Linked DNA regions of Rattus norvegicus. The protein of the gene in region 1 purifies or fractionates together with the protein of each later gene. This does not show direct contact. Links are inferred from orthologs where the notes say so. Each region holds a gene or a part of one and is shown in the gene's direction. Other genes may lie near its edges.

Region 1 (3,652 bases):
CACAGAAACTGTCAAGTTGTATTTTAAGTAAAACTTGACACTTTAGGGGAAACAAATAAATAAATGCTTTTTAAAATTCTTTTTGCTAAATTCCATAACAGAATTGACATTTTCCAGCCTTTATTTCTGTATCATTGAAATCACCTTAAGTTCTTCAAGTGGGTGAGGGCCAAGCCCCATGCCAAATGCTGCTCACAAAGGATGTCAGTGGGGCAGGCAGAGAGCTTAAGAAGCAGTTTGGGGCTTTCCTACTTGAGAGGGTGGGCTTGGAGCACCCTCGTGTGGACAGCTTGGGAAATACAGCACAGGATTGGTTTGCTAGTTACATATAAATCAGTCCCCGCCCCTCTTTCTGAACCGAGTGTAGACCAATTGGGTTCAAGCTGGCAGGTTGTATCTTGTTTTTCATTTCGTCCATGAAATTGCTTGGGAAGCGTTTATAACTCTACCATTCATTAAATGACCAGCATTGTGCAGTTTCTTTGTTTTTGTTACTTCACTTAACAAAACTGTTTTTGTTTTTGTTTTTGTTTTTTCTTTTACTGTTTTTCGCATTAGTCACATGGATTTCCCTCATGTGACTCATCAATTCATCTGACACCTGGGCATCTGCTCGATTATCCTAGCAATATTATTTCTGTAAGACACGACCTAAAACAGAACAAAGTTGCTGGAGACTTGTCGTATGTGGTAAATCTATGAGAGACTCATAGCTGTCACACTAGACAGTAACATTTCCCTTTCTCACAGCCATTTCGGTGTGAAAACCCAATTACTGAGTGAAAATCTGAAACCTCTTTGCTAGAGAAATTCAATAAACCAAAACTATCGAGCACAGTTCAGATGGAGTTGAGTTAAAATGAAAATTAGCGTTGGGTTCTGAATCTCCAAGGTTATTATTAGGCTCTGAGAGACGGGATATAGCTAGGTTTATACAGAACACGGAGGCCAGGGATTGGCTCAGCAGTAGAGTGTTTGCTTAGCTTGTGCAAGGCCCTGAGTTTGACACCGGGCCACGGAGACTGTAGGAGAATTACTGCATCAGAATTCAAGGTTTCCTGTTGCGTTTTAGTTAAAAATCTCTTTATCCCCCATGTTAACACTTTGCTGAGAAAATCATGGAGATGAGATGGCTGGTTTCCTCCAGTAATTATTTCTAAATATTTTAACCTCATAACTTGACTTGTGGATTAGATGAGCATTTCTGCTCTCCGTATTCTTCATTGAGTGAGTGTGGTGGTAATGTAAAATTATTCTGCTTAGGGCGGAGAGTAATTCGTTACACTCTAAGTTATACTTTACACTAAGCAATGAGTAATGTTTACTTTATCAGCAGTGTGGTTCTTTCCCCCCATTTAGATATGAAGTAAATTTTCAAGATGGTATTGACTGTGGAGGCGCCTACGTTAAGCTGCTAGCAGACACTGGTGACTTGATTCTGGTATGACATTTTACTATCTAAGAACACCTTGTTAGAGTCAGTAAGTATTCTAAGGACTGGTTGACAACTGAAAATCCCATTTTCATTGTCTTTTTCTCAGTCTGAGTTTACATGGCCTTTACAGTCTGCTGTCCAGATCCATTCACAGTCGCACTGTGTGATGGAGACATTGGTTCTGTGCTCTTTGGTAACAATAACTGTGCTCTATCTGGGGGTAGAAGTCACGGGTGCTTAGAGATGCTCAAATGACAGCACAAAGCCCACATTAAAAGCCGCTGCTTCCTATGTTGCCAACGCCCAGAAAAGCCCAAAGCAACTTGGGAGAGTTTGGGGACATTTCTTACAGCATTCCACAGTGGGAGGGAGCTCTGTGTTTTGGTTACGATGGCTTCGCTGTGGGCCAGCTCCAAGGCACACAGCAGAACCTGCCTTCTGCACTGGTGGCCGTAGGATCAGGTAAAAGAGGCTGTTTGTAGGATGTAGTGAAGCTCATTTTAGATCTTGGAAGTCTTAGCGGCGGAGTGGCAAAAACAGAGTTGGCTCGAATTCCTTTACGTACTTAGTTGGAGCCAGCATGTCCTCAGAGGCCTTCTAAGGTGGGAACTGTCATCTCCACACTTGAGGCATCATGGGAATGGATCCAGGGGGCTCGGAAGCTCGCTCAGCCACACGAGTGTAGGAACCGCAGTGTATCGAGGACAGCAGAGCCACACTCCGGAGCAGGGTGAAGTCTGGAGCGCCCCTCTGTGTCCGCGCACCTTTGTGTGTTTTTAACTACAGTCTTCCTGAGTAATGACAACGAGGAATCATTTTAGTCTAAGGTCACGAATGCGCCTGCTTCCCCCAGGGACTGCTCATACCTGTGTGCATAAAGCAGTTGCAGTTTTTCTGAGCTCTTACACGCATCCTTAGGAAGGGAGTAGCGTGCGCTTTTCTAAAGTTTTCATTTTGCCATGTCCTTTGTTGTCGTTTGTGTTATTTGGTAAGTTGGCATTTAATATAGTCTGTAAATTCTGCCCACTGGACAGAACAGAGAAAGTCAAAGGCCGCCATGACTCTGGACTAATTGGGAGCATCCTCTCTCTCTGAAGGAAAACTTTTATGATAAAACATCGTATACCATCATGTTTGGACCAGATAAATGTGGAGAAGACTATAAGCTTCATTTAATCTTCAGACACAAACATCCCAAAACCGGAGTTTTTGAAGAAAAGCACGCCAAACCTCCAGATGTGGATCTGAAAGAGTTCTTTACGGACCGGAAGACTCACCTGTATACCCTCGGTACCCATTCATTCATTCATTCATTCATTCATTCATTCAAACGTTCTCGTTTCCATGGAGACGCTGAGGGCCTGTGCTTTCCGGAGAAAGTAAATGTGTCTACCTTTAAGAAGTTTATCTTTGGGGGAAGATAGGTTGTGTCACATAAATGGGGGTGGGAGTGTCAGAAGAGGAGACTGCAGAATGGGAGTTTCTTAGCAGTGCCTCTTCCCTGACCGTGGCCCCTGGGTGGGGTTTTTGTATGAAAATGTACATTTGTAGGAAAATCCACTTTTAAGAGTGGAACTCTCAGGCGGGTCTGAAACAGTGTACATTCTTTGTGATAACACTTGCAAACCTCTGAAGTCTGAGGGGTTTGTCTCACTATGAGGAAGACGGGGCTGTATGCTGTAGCTGTGAAGAGGGACACTTTGGGACCGTGAGTCCCCACCAGGGCCACCTAGCTGTTGGGTAATTTTACCTGTTGAGATAATGGGATTTTTCATTGTTGAAAAAATTGAGTTTAAAATAAATCTTATCTTTATTTTAGAAAATACTGTAGCAAGTGATTTCAGCGAGTTTTGATTCAATACATTGGTTTTTCCTGGTTAGGAGAAAAAAAACTGCCCATAAACTTGGTCATTTTATTATTTTGAAGATTCTATTCCATATGTCGGATACTAATCCTCAAGTGTTTAAATTGTTCTGTAGTGATGAATCCGGATGACACGTTTGAAATATTAATCGATCAGAAAGTTGTGAACCAAGGGACCTTGCTAGAGGACGTGGTCCCACCTATCAATCCACCCAGAGAAATTGATGACCCGAATGACAGAAAGCCAGAGGAGTGGGATGACAGAGCCAAGATCCCCGACCCCACCGCCGTCAAGCCAGAGGACTGGTAAGTCAAGGGAGGCTCCGTAACTGGGCGGCTAACAAGACGCTGAC
Region 2 (3,652 bases), on another chromosome or scaffold:
GAAGACCATGAAACAAGCATCTTTCATAAAAGTCATTTCGTCTCGTCTGTTTCTGGTTTCTGTCTGCTCTGTTCCATTGAGCTTTGGGTGTATTTGTTCATCGGTGTCAGTCCTGATTCACGTTGTGTGTGTGTGTGTGTGTGTGTGTGTGTGTGTGTGTGTGTGTGTGTATGTGTGAATGTATGTATATATATATAGTAAGTCTTGAAGTCAGATTAACTTCTTCCAAAATAGTTCTAGCAATTTTAGCTTCTTAGTAATTAGTAGTACCTTTATTGTTTATGTATAAATAAACTATTAAGATATACTGATCAATAGAGCTGGGCATGTAGCTTGTTGGGAGGTGCTTGTCTAGCCTTCACAAAGCCCTGGTCTCAGTCCTTAGCACCACACAAACTGGGTGAAATGTCACATGCTTGTAATCCCAGCGTTTGGGAAGTAGAATGGGTCATTGTCATTGTGGTGAAGATCTGGGTGGCACGCAGGCAGGCATGTTGCTAGAGAAGTAGCTGAGAGATTTAATTCCTGATCTTCAGGTAGCAGGCAGAGAGAGACAGACACTGGGCCTAGGGTAGACTTTTGAAACCTAAAAGCCCACCCCAACAACTCATGGCTTCCAACAAGGACACACTTCCTAATCCTTCCAAACATTCTGTAAGTCAAAGCTCCTAACACCTGAGCTCTTACACTTCTGTCTGTCCTGGACTTGGTCCTGTGTTTACGCACGTTTCGGCAGTCAGGCTAGCGTTCCTTACTTCCGTTCAGCGCTTCATTTGGACAGCTGTCTTGCCTGTCATCTTTGCTGCTGTATGTGGTGGACAACAGTGATGGAGCCCCTATTTTCAGTCAGTGTCACTACGTCCTTTCTACTCCTATTCACCATTAAATTTTAGAAGTGCTGAGGGAAAACATAAACTGGAAAGTCAGAAGTCCTACTTGACTTTTCCTACAGTATTTTCTGATACTAAGCATAGGATACTGATGTGTTTGTGCAAAGGACAGTGCTTCTGAGAATTGAGCCTGAAGTTTTCATGTCTAACTCTTGAGTGTGGGAGGAGTGCACATGCATGTGCAGAAATGTTTGGGCACAATGCACAGGGGAAGCAATATACTGCATGTACATGTAACCTTCGTCACTTATCAGGGTGTGACTAATTGTCTTTTGCTTGTAACTTCCTGTATCCCAGGTATTTAGAAGCAGAATAGAATTTGTATCATAATCTTTTTGGCTTGGCATTTTTACCTTTAACTGTTATGTACTTAAAAAACTTCATACCTACATTACTTTTACAGCCCGTACAAATAAACCCTCTTGATGTATGAGTACACTTTCATAAGAGCTTACCTCAGTCTGACTTACTGGCTAGATCTAACCATCAGTGTTCTAGAACCTAGATGAGAGAAATGAGTTACATAATAGAGAGATAGAGTCAGCACATCACAGGATATAGGATAGGAGCTCCAGAGTGTGGCAGGAAAAACAATTAGAAAAATTCAACAGTATGACCATATATTACAAATATTGAAAACCACATTACCCAAATAACAGCAGACATTTTTGAGAGCTGTTTAAAACAAACAAACCTGTCTTGAAATGACCAAGAAAATGGGGTAGTTGGGGTAGTTTGATTGCTGACAACATAGGGATACTGTGAAGAAAAGTTCAGATAACTAAGCTGACTAATGGCTGTAGTTAGACTTTTCAAAAAGTCTTCGCCTCTTAAGAGATACAGACTGATCCTTCATGCATTAAAAAGCCAGGAGTCTTTGGAACGTGGTGTGGGATTGGCCCACGTTGTGTTTGGTTGAGACCTGGTGTTGTGTAGTTGGTAGTTCGTTACCCACAGTTTCCGTCATTTGTGCATTTGAAAATTTATGAGGAAAGGGTTTTTAAGTCAGAGACCTATTTTAATAATTTGTAATTTACTTCTCATTGCTATTACCAGATTCCTATCAGATTATTTCTAGTATTAGTTTTCTTTATTAGAAACCTCAAGTTGTGAGTATTTACTCTGTTCTGTCATTTATTCAAGGTGATGAGCATGGTGTCAGGATTTGCACCCCTGATCTCTGCGGGTATCTTTTCAGCCACACTCTCATCAGCACTGGCATCTCTTGTGAGTGCTCCCAAAATATTTCAGGTAAATATTTTCATATTATTGTTATTGAAGATGTTAAAATAATATTTCAAATTCAGATAAATTACCTTATCAATCTCATGTGTTTGTTTGCATATACATATATCAAGATTGGTGTAAATTTTATTTACATAAATGCTGTGTAGATCCCTAAAAACATTTGTGCATTTTCCTACTGTCAAGGTACAGCCTTGAAATGTCTTTAGGAAGGATGATTGGAGGGTCTGGAGAGATGGCTCAGCAGTACAGGTTCACACAGAGAATCCAGATTCAGTTTCCAGTATGTGCACTGGGTGTACATAATCAGCTGTAACTCCAGACACATAGATAATTGAAAATGATAAAATAAATATTTTAGGGATTAAAAATATTTTAGGGATTAGGTGGGTTTTGTTTTTGGCATACTTAGCATTAAAGTTTAGGATGGTTGTCAAGTTAGGAGTGCAGCGTAAGACTCTAAATCAGAACTGTAAATAGTGGTTTCAGTTAACATGATGCCAACTTGACTATCTTATGTGGCTCATAGTGCAGCGACTGTAGTAGAGGCCGTGATAGCTAGGATGAGTGTTGCTTCCTATGGTGGTCATTAAGCATCTGACAGTGATAAGTGTTGACTTTCTAGCCTTGCTCTTAATACTGTATTTGTAGCAAGAAGTATAGCAGTGTTGTCTAATAGGACTTTTAAGACAATATCTGTTAGGATTGGGAGAAAAGTAGTTCAACTTTATACTTCGGGTTTTTAATCATTTTCATTTCAGATTTGGAGTTGGTTTTCTTAAAGCCTTAGGTACACTGTATCATAATGCCAACTTTTAGGGTTTTTCATTGTACTTTGTTTGAATGACTGCTTCTCCGATTCTTCATAAATAGAGTTTTAACATGGGATGGAGCAAGACAAACAAAATCTTTAGCAGTGTTAGGAACCATCTAGCCTTCAGCTGTCTGAACTGTTCACTTGTCCTTTATAGTCTGTCGGTGCAGCACCGAGAGACAGGAAACATAGTATCGGAAAGGAGAGACTTGGACTTCATTCTTGGTTAACATACTTTAACTGTTTGCAGATTTGCACATCGTAAGTTTTATGTGTTTTGTTTTAATGTTTGTATTTTTTTTCCCTTGGGTTAGGCTCTATGTAAGGACAATATCTACCCAGCTTTCCAGATGTTTGCGAAAGGTTATGGAAAAAATAATGAACCTCTTCGTGGTTACATCTTAACATTCTTAATTGCACTTGGATTCATCTTAATTGGTTAGTTCTATGAATGGTATATTATGTAGGTTTTGGTATGTTTTGATATAGTGTTATCTGTAATCATGAATATTAAGTTATTAATGTATATTAATTAGTTTCTAATCAAAGTAAAATATTGCAAATAGTAGTACCTGATATTACTTATTAAACTTAATTCCATTGTGCAAAATTAGGGTAAAAGGAATATTATATTCTTTCTTTTTTTGTCCCTATTCTTTCTTTCCTGCCTCCCCCCCACCCCTTTTTTTTAAGATTCACGTAG
Region 3 (3,652 bases), on another chromosome or scaffold:
CCTCAGCTACATAATCAATCAATTCAGGCCAGCCTGGGCTATGTGAGACCTCCTCTCTCTCTCTCTCTCTCTCTCTCTCTCTCTCTCTCTCCATACACACACACACACACACACACACACACACACACACACACGCACACACTTTTTGTTTGTTTGAAACAGGGTCTTCAGGTTGGCCTTAAACCATCATGCCCCTGCCTCAGCCTCTTGAGTGCTGCTGAGAGAGTTTTCAGGAAGTCCTTGAAGTAAATCTTTACTTGTATTTAGCAGAACAGTGAGGGGCTCATCCTTCTCTTGCAGCTGGAAGGGGCCTGTGCACATCAGCCGCCCTCAGACCTGTTTTGTTTGGAGAAGATGCCTCCTCTGGCTGCCTTTTGGAAGTTGGGATTAAGGAGAACTGTACACAACTCAGGTGAGTCTCTCGTTGGTTTGGTTTGTGGGAGACAAGGTCTCCCAGAGCCAAGAAGATCCTCAACTCTTGAGTCCTCCTGTCTCCACCTCCCCAAAGCTGGCTCCTGTGAGATTCACTGGTGAATTTTCTTCCATTTTTGAGTGGTCTCCCTAAAATTAATTTTCTGTGTGAATGTTAAAGACAAGACTGAAAAGTTATGGTGAATGGCGTGGACGTGATAGCTAGTGATAGTTAGTGGACACACGCAGTGGATGTGATAGATGGTGGACATGCGGTGGACATCATAGTAAGTGGTGGATACACACACATTTGTTTTTAACATTTATTTATGAAATGATTATTGCGTGCATGTGTGCAGTGTAAGAACAGAGGCACATGTATGCCGTGTGTGTGTGTGTGTGTGTGTGTGTGTGTGTGTGTGTGTGTGTGTCTTACCCTGTTTTAAGTTGGTGTAAAATTCCCATGATGTAATTAATCATTCAGAAGTAGTGACTCAGGCAGACAGAGTAGCACACACCACCGTCCCAGCACTCTAGAGGCTGAGGCAGGGTTGCTGTGCTACTTAGGGTCATCTTGGGCTGCAGATAACACCTTGTCTCAACATAAAATCAAAAGGTCTGTCGGGATGACTCGGCAGGGAAAGGCATGTGTTGCCAAGCCTGATGACCTGAGTTCAAGACCATGACTCATGTGGTAAAAGAAAACTGGCTCGGGGGCTGGAGAGATGGCTCAGCAGTTAAGAGCACCGACTGCTCTTTCAGAGGTCCTGAGTTCAATTCCCAGCAACTACATGGTGGCTCACAACCATCTGTAATGGGATCCGATGTCCTCTTCTGGTGTGTCTGAGGACAGCGACAGTGTACTCATATACATAAAATAAATAAATCTTTAAAAAAAGAAAGGAAGGAAAACTGACTCACTCAAGTTGACCTTTGACCTCCCCAAGTATGCCATGGCACAGGCATACATGCACACACACACAAATGGCTTAAAAGGCTTAAGACAAGAAAAGGTGAACTGTCCAGTGTCATTGAGGCCGTTCACGGTGTTATGAAAGGCTTTATCTAGTTCTAAAACATTTTCATCACCCAAGGTGGAAATCTGTATGTGTAAGTAGTTACTCCCCCAGCTCTCCTCTCCACAGCCCTGCTTTCTGCCTCTGTGGCTTTGCCTGCTCTGGACATTCAAATGGGGTCACACCTATGTCACAGCGTGTGCCAGAACTCCATCCTTTTCCATGGTGACTCTTCGCCTGCCTCTGCGTGTCTGTTTATATCACACCTTGTTCATCCGCCTCGGTTGATGGACGTCCGGGTTCCCCATCGTTTGGCTGTGTGTACTGCCACACGCAGGCCGGTGCAGGTTTCAGTGTGAATGTGCTTCCTGTTCTTTTCAGTCTGTGCCCCTGGGAATCAAAGTGCCAGGTCATCTGGTAATTCCCTTTTCTGTCTGCAGAACCCACTTTAGTACCATGGTGGCACCTTTTGCCATCCTCAGCAGAGTGGGACGGACGGCTCCAGGTTTTCCACAGCCTCCCAAGAGTTGTTTTTTTTTTTTTTTCTTTTTTTTACATTTATCTTTATTTCGTGGGAGGTTGGGTGAACATAAATGTGCTTCACACGCGGAGGTCAGAGGACAACTCTTGGGAGCCAGCGCTCTCTCTGGCCACGTCGTATGGTCTAGAAATCCAGCTCAGGTTGTTAGGCCTGCATAAGAACTCCTCCATCCGCTGAGCCACCTCACTGGCCCCTCCCAGCCTACTTCCCCCCTTAAGATTCATTCATTTTATGGTGTGAGCGTCTTACCTGCAGGTATGCATCTCTGTGCAGCCTGTGCAGACAGTGCTTGCAAAGGTCAGAAGAGGTTATCAGATGCCCTCGAACTGGAGTCCCAGATGGGCGTGAGCTGTCAAGTGGGTGCCAGGAATTGAACTCTAGCCATGAGGGCTGGGTGAGACGGCAGCCATTGTTGGCACCGGGCAAGGAGCAAGCGTGCATTTAAAAATGACACACTACGGGGTTGGGGATTTAGCTCAGTGGTAGAGCACTTGCCTAGCAAGCGCAAGGCCCTGGGTTCGGTCCCCAGCTCAGAAAAAAAGAAAAAAAAAGGGAGGGGGTTGGGGATTTGGCTCAGTGCAAGCGCAAGGCCCTGGGTTCGGTACCCAGCTCCGAAAAAAAGAAAAAAAAAAAATGACACACTACGAACCCAAATCTGGAAGAGCAGCAAGCATTCCTTTTATTTGTTTTGTTTGTTTGTTTGTTTGTTGTTTTTCCATGACAGAGTTTTTCTGTGTAGCCCTGACCATCCTGGAACTTGATCTGTAGACCAGGCTGGCCCCAAACTCATACACCTCCTCCTTCCTCTGCCTCCCAAGTGCAAGGATTATAGGCCTGAGCCACCACGTCAGGCTACCAGTAAGTATTCTTAACTCCTGAGCCATCTCTCCAGCGTACACCCACACACATGCATCCTGTTTTTACCGGCAGTCGCTCCAGCAGATTTCTATCTGGGCTCCCAGCAAAGACAGGTGGCCACTCTTGGAAAAGGACTTAAGGACCAAGCCCGCTGGCCACCGGCTGAGAAGTGTTATCTTCCTTCTTTGCAGGGAGAATGTCCTTCAGAGACTAGATTTGCTGATCCAGGCAACGCACGTTGCGAGGAGAGGCAACTCGGACTACGGTGATCTGAGCGATGGCTGGCTGGAGGTCATACGTGAGTCACCCTGGCCATGCGTAGGGGTCACTGATGTTGAGCATTTTGCCCAGGGCTCTCTGTAGGCAGGAATCTTTCTTTCCCCAGCTCTCATGGCTCCTGCTCGAAGAGGAAACTATCTCGAGCTTCCTCTTGCTGACAGTCCCAGCTTGAAGACGTACGGGTCACGTCAGTTTGCACTTCTATTTTGAGCACCCAAGAATATCGGCATCGAGAGTTAACCCGTAGTTTATAGAGAGTGAAAACGTGGTGCTGAGTGAAAGGGGCCCAGACACAGACCACCCAAAACTTCCACTCCATTTGTGTGCAAGGCCCAGAATGGACAGATGTGCACGGAAAGCAGAGTCATGAGTGCTAAGAACCAGGGAGGCACTCTTGGGACCTGGAGAGTTCTATACGGGAAAATTTGAAAGTAAATCTGGGGCTGAGATGTGGTTCCGCCTAGTGTCTAGAGTGTGGAGAGCTGTGGGTTTGAACCCTAGCACCAACTTCCTAAATCCTAAAACAGTCAAAAAAAAAAAAAAATCA

What was found.
Region 2: the proteins of Clgn (region 1) and Slc12a2 purify together in Homo sapiens (co-immunoprecipitation; 3 studies listed by BioGRID and IntAct, with this or other methods). This does not show direct contact. The link is inferred for Rattus norvegicus from reciprocal best matches to the Homo sapiens genes CLGN and SLC12A2.
Region 3: the proteins of Clgn (region 1) and Tctn2 purify together in Homo sapiens (affinity purification with mass spectrometry; 3 studies listed by BioGRID and IntAct, with this or other methods). This does not show direct contact. The link is inferred for Rattus norvegicus from reciprocal best matches to the Homo sapiens genes CLGN and TCTN2.

Annotation. Positions count from the first base shown.
Region 1 is NC_086037.1:41,612,520-41,616,171, reverse strand, and holds part of Clgn (calmegin precursor), read left to right. Parts: intron 1-1,359; coding exon 1,360-1,441; intron 1,442-2,532; coding exon 2,533-2,725; intron 2,726-3,415; coding exon 3,416-3,605; intron 3,606-3,652. UniProt on the Homo sapiens protein: Functions during spermatogenesis as a chaperone for a range of client proteins that are important for sperm adhesion onto the egg zona pellucida and for subsequent penetration of the zona pellucida.
Region 2 is NC_086036.1:53,573,685-53,577,336, forward strand, and holds part of Slc12a2 (solute carrier family 12 member 2), read left to right. Parts: intron 1-2,033; coding exon 2,034-2,141; intron 2,142-3,263; coding exon 3,264-3,387; intron 3,388-3,652. UniProt on the Homo sapiens protein: Cation-chloride cotransporter which mediates the electroneutral transport of chloride, potassium and/or sodium ions across the membrane. Plays a vital role in the regulation of ionic balance and cell volume.
Region 3 is NC_086030.1:37,647,451-37,651,102, reverse strand, and holds part of Tctn2 (tectonic-2 precursor), read left to right. Parts: intron 1-300; coding exon 301-412; intron 413-3,017; coding exon 3,018-3,124; intron 3,125-3,652.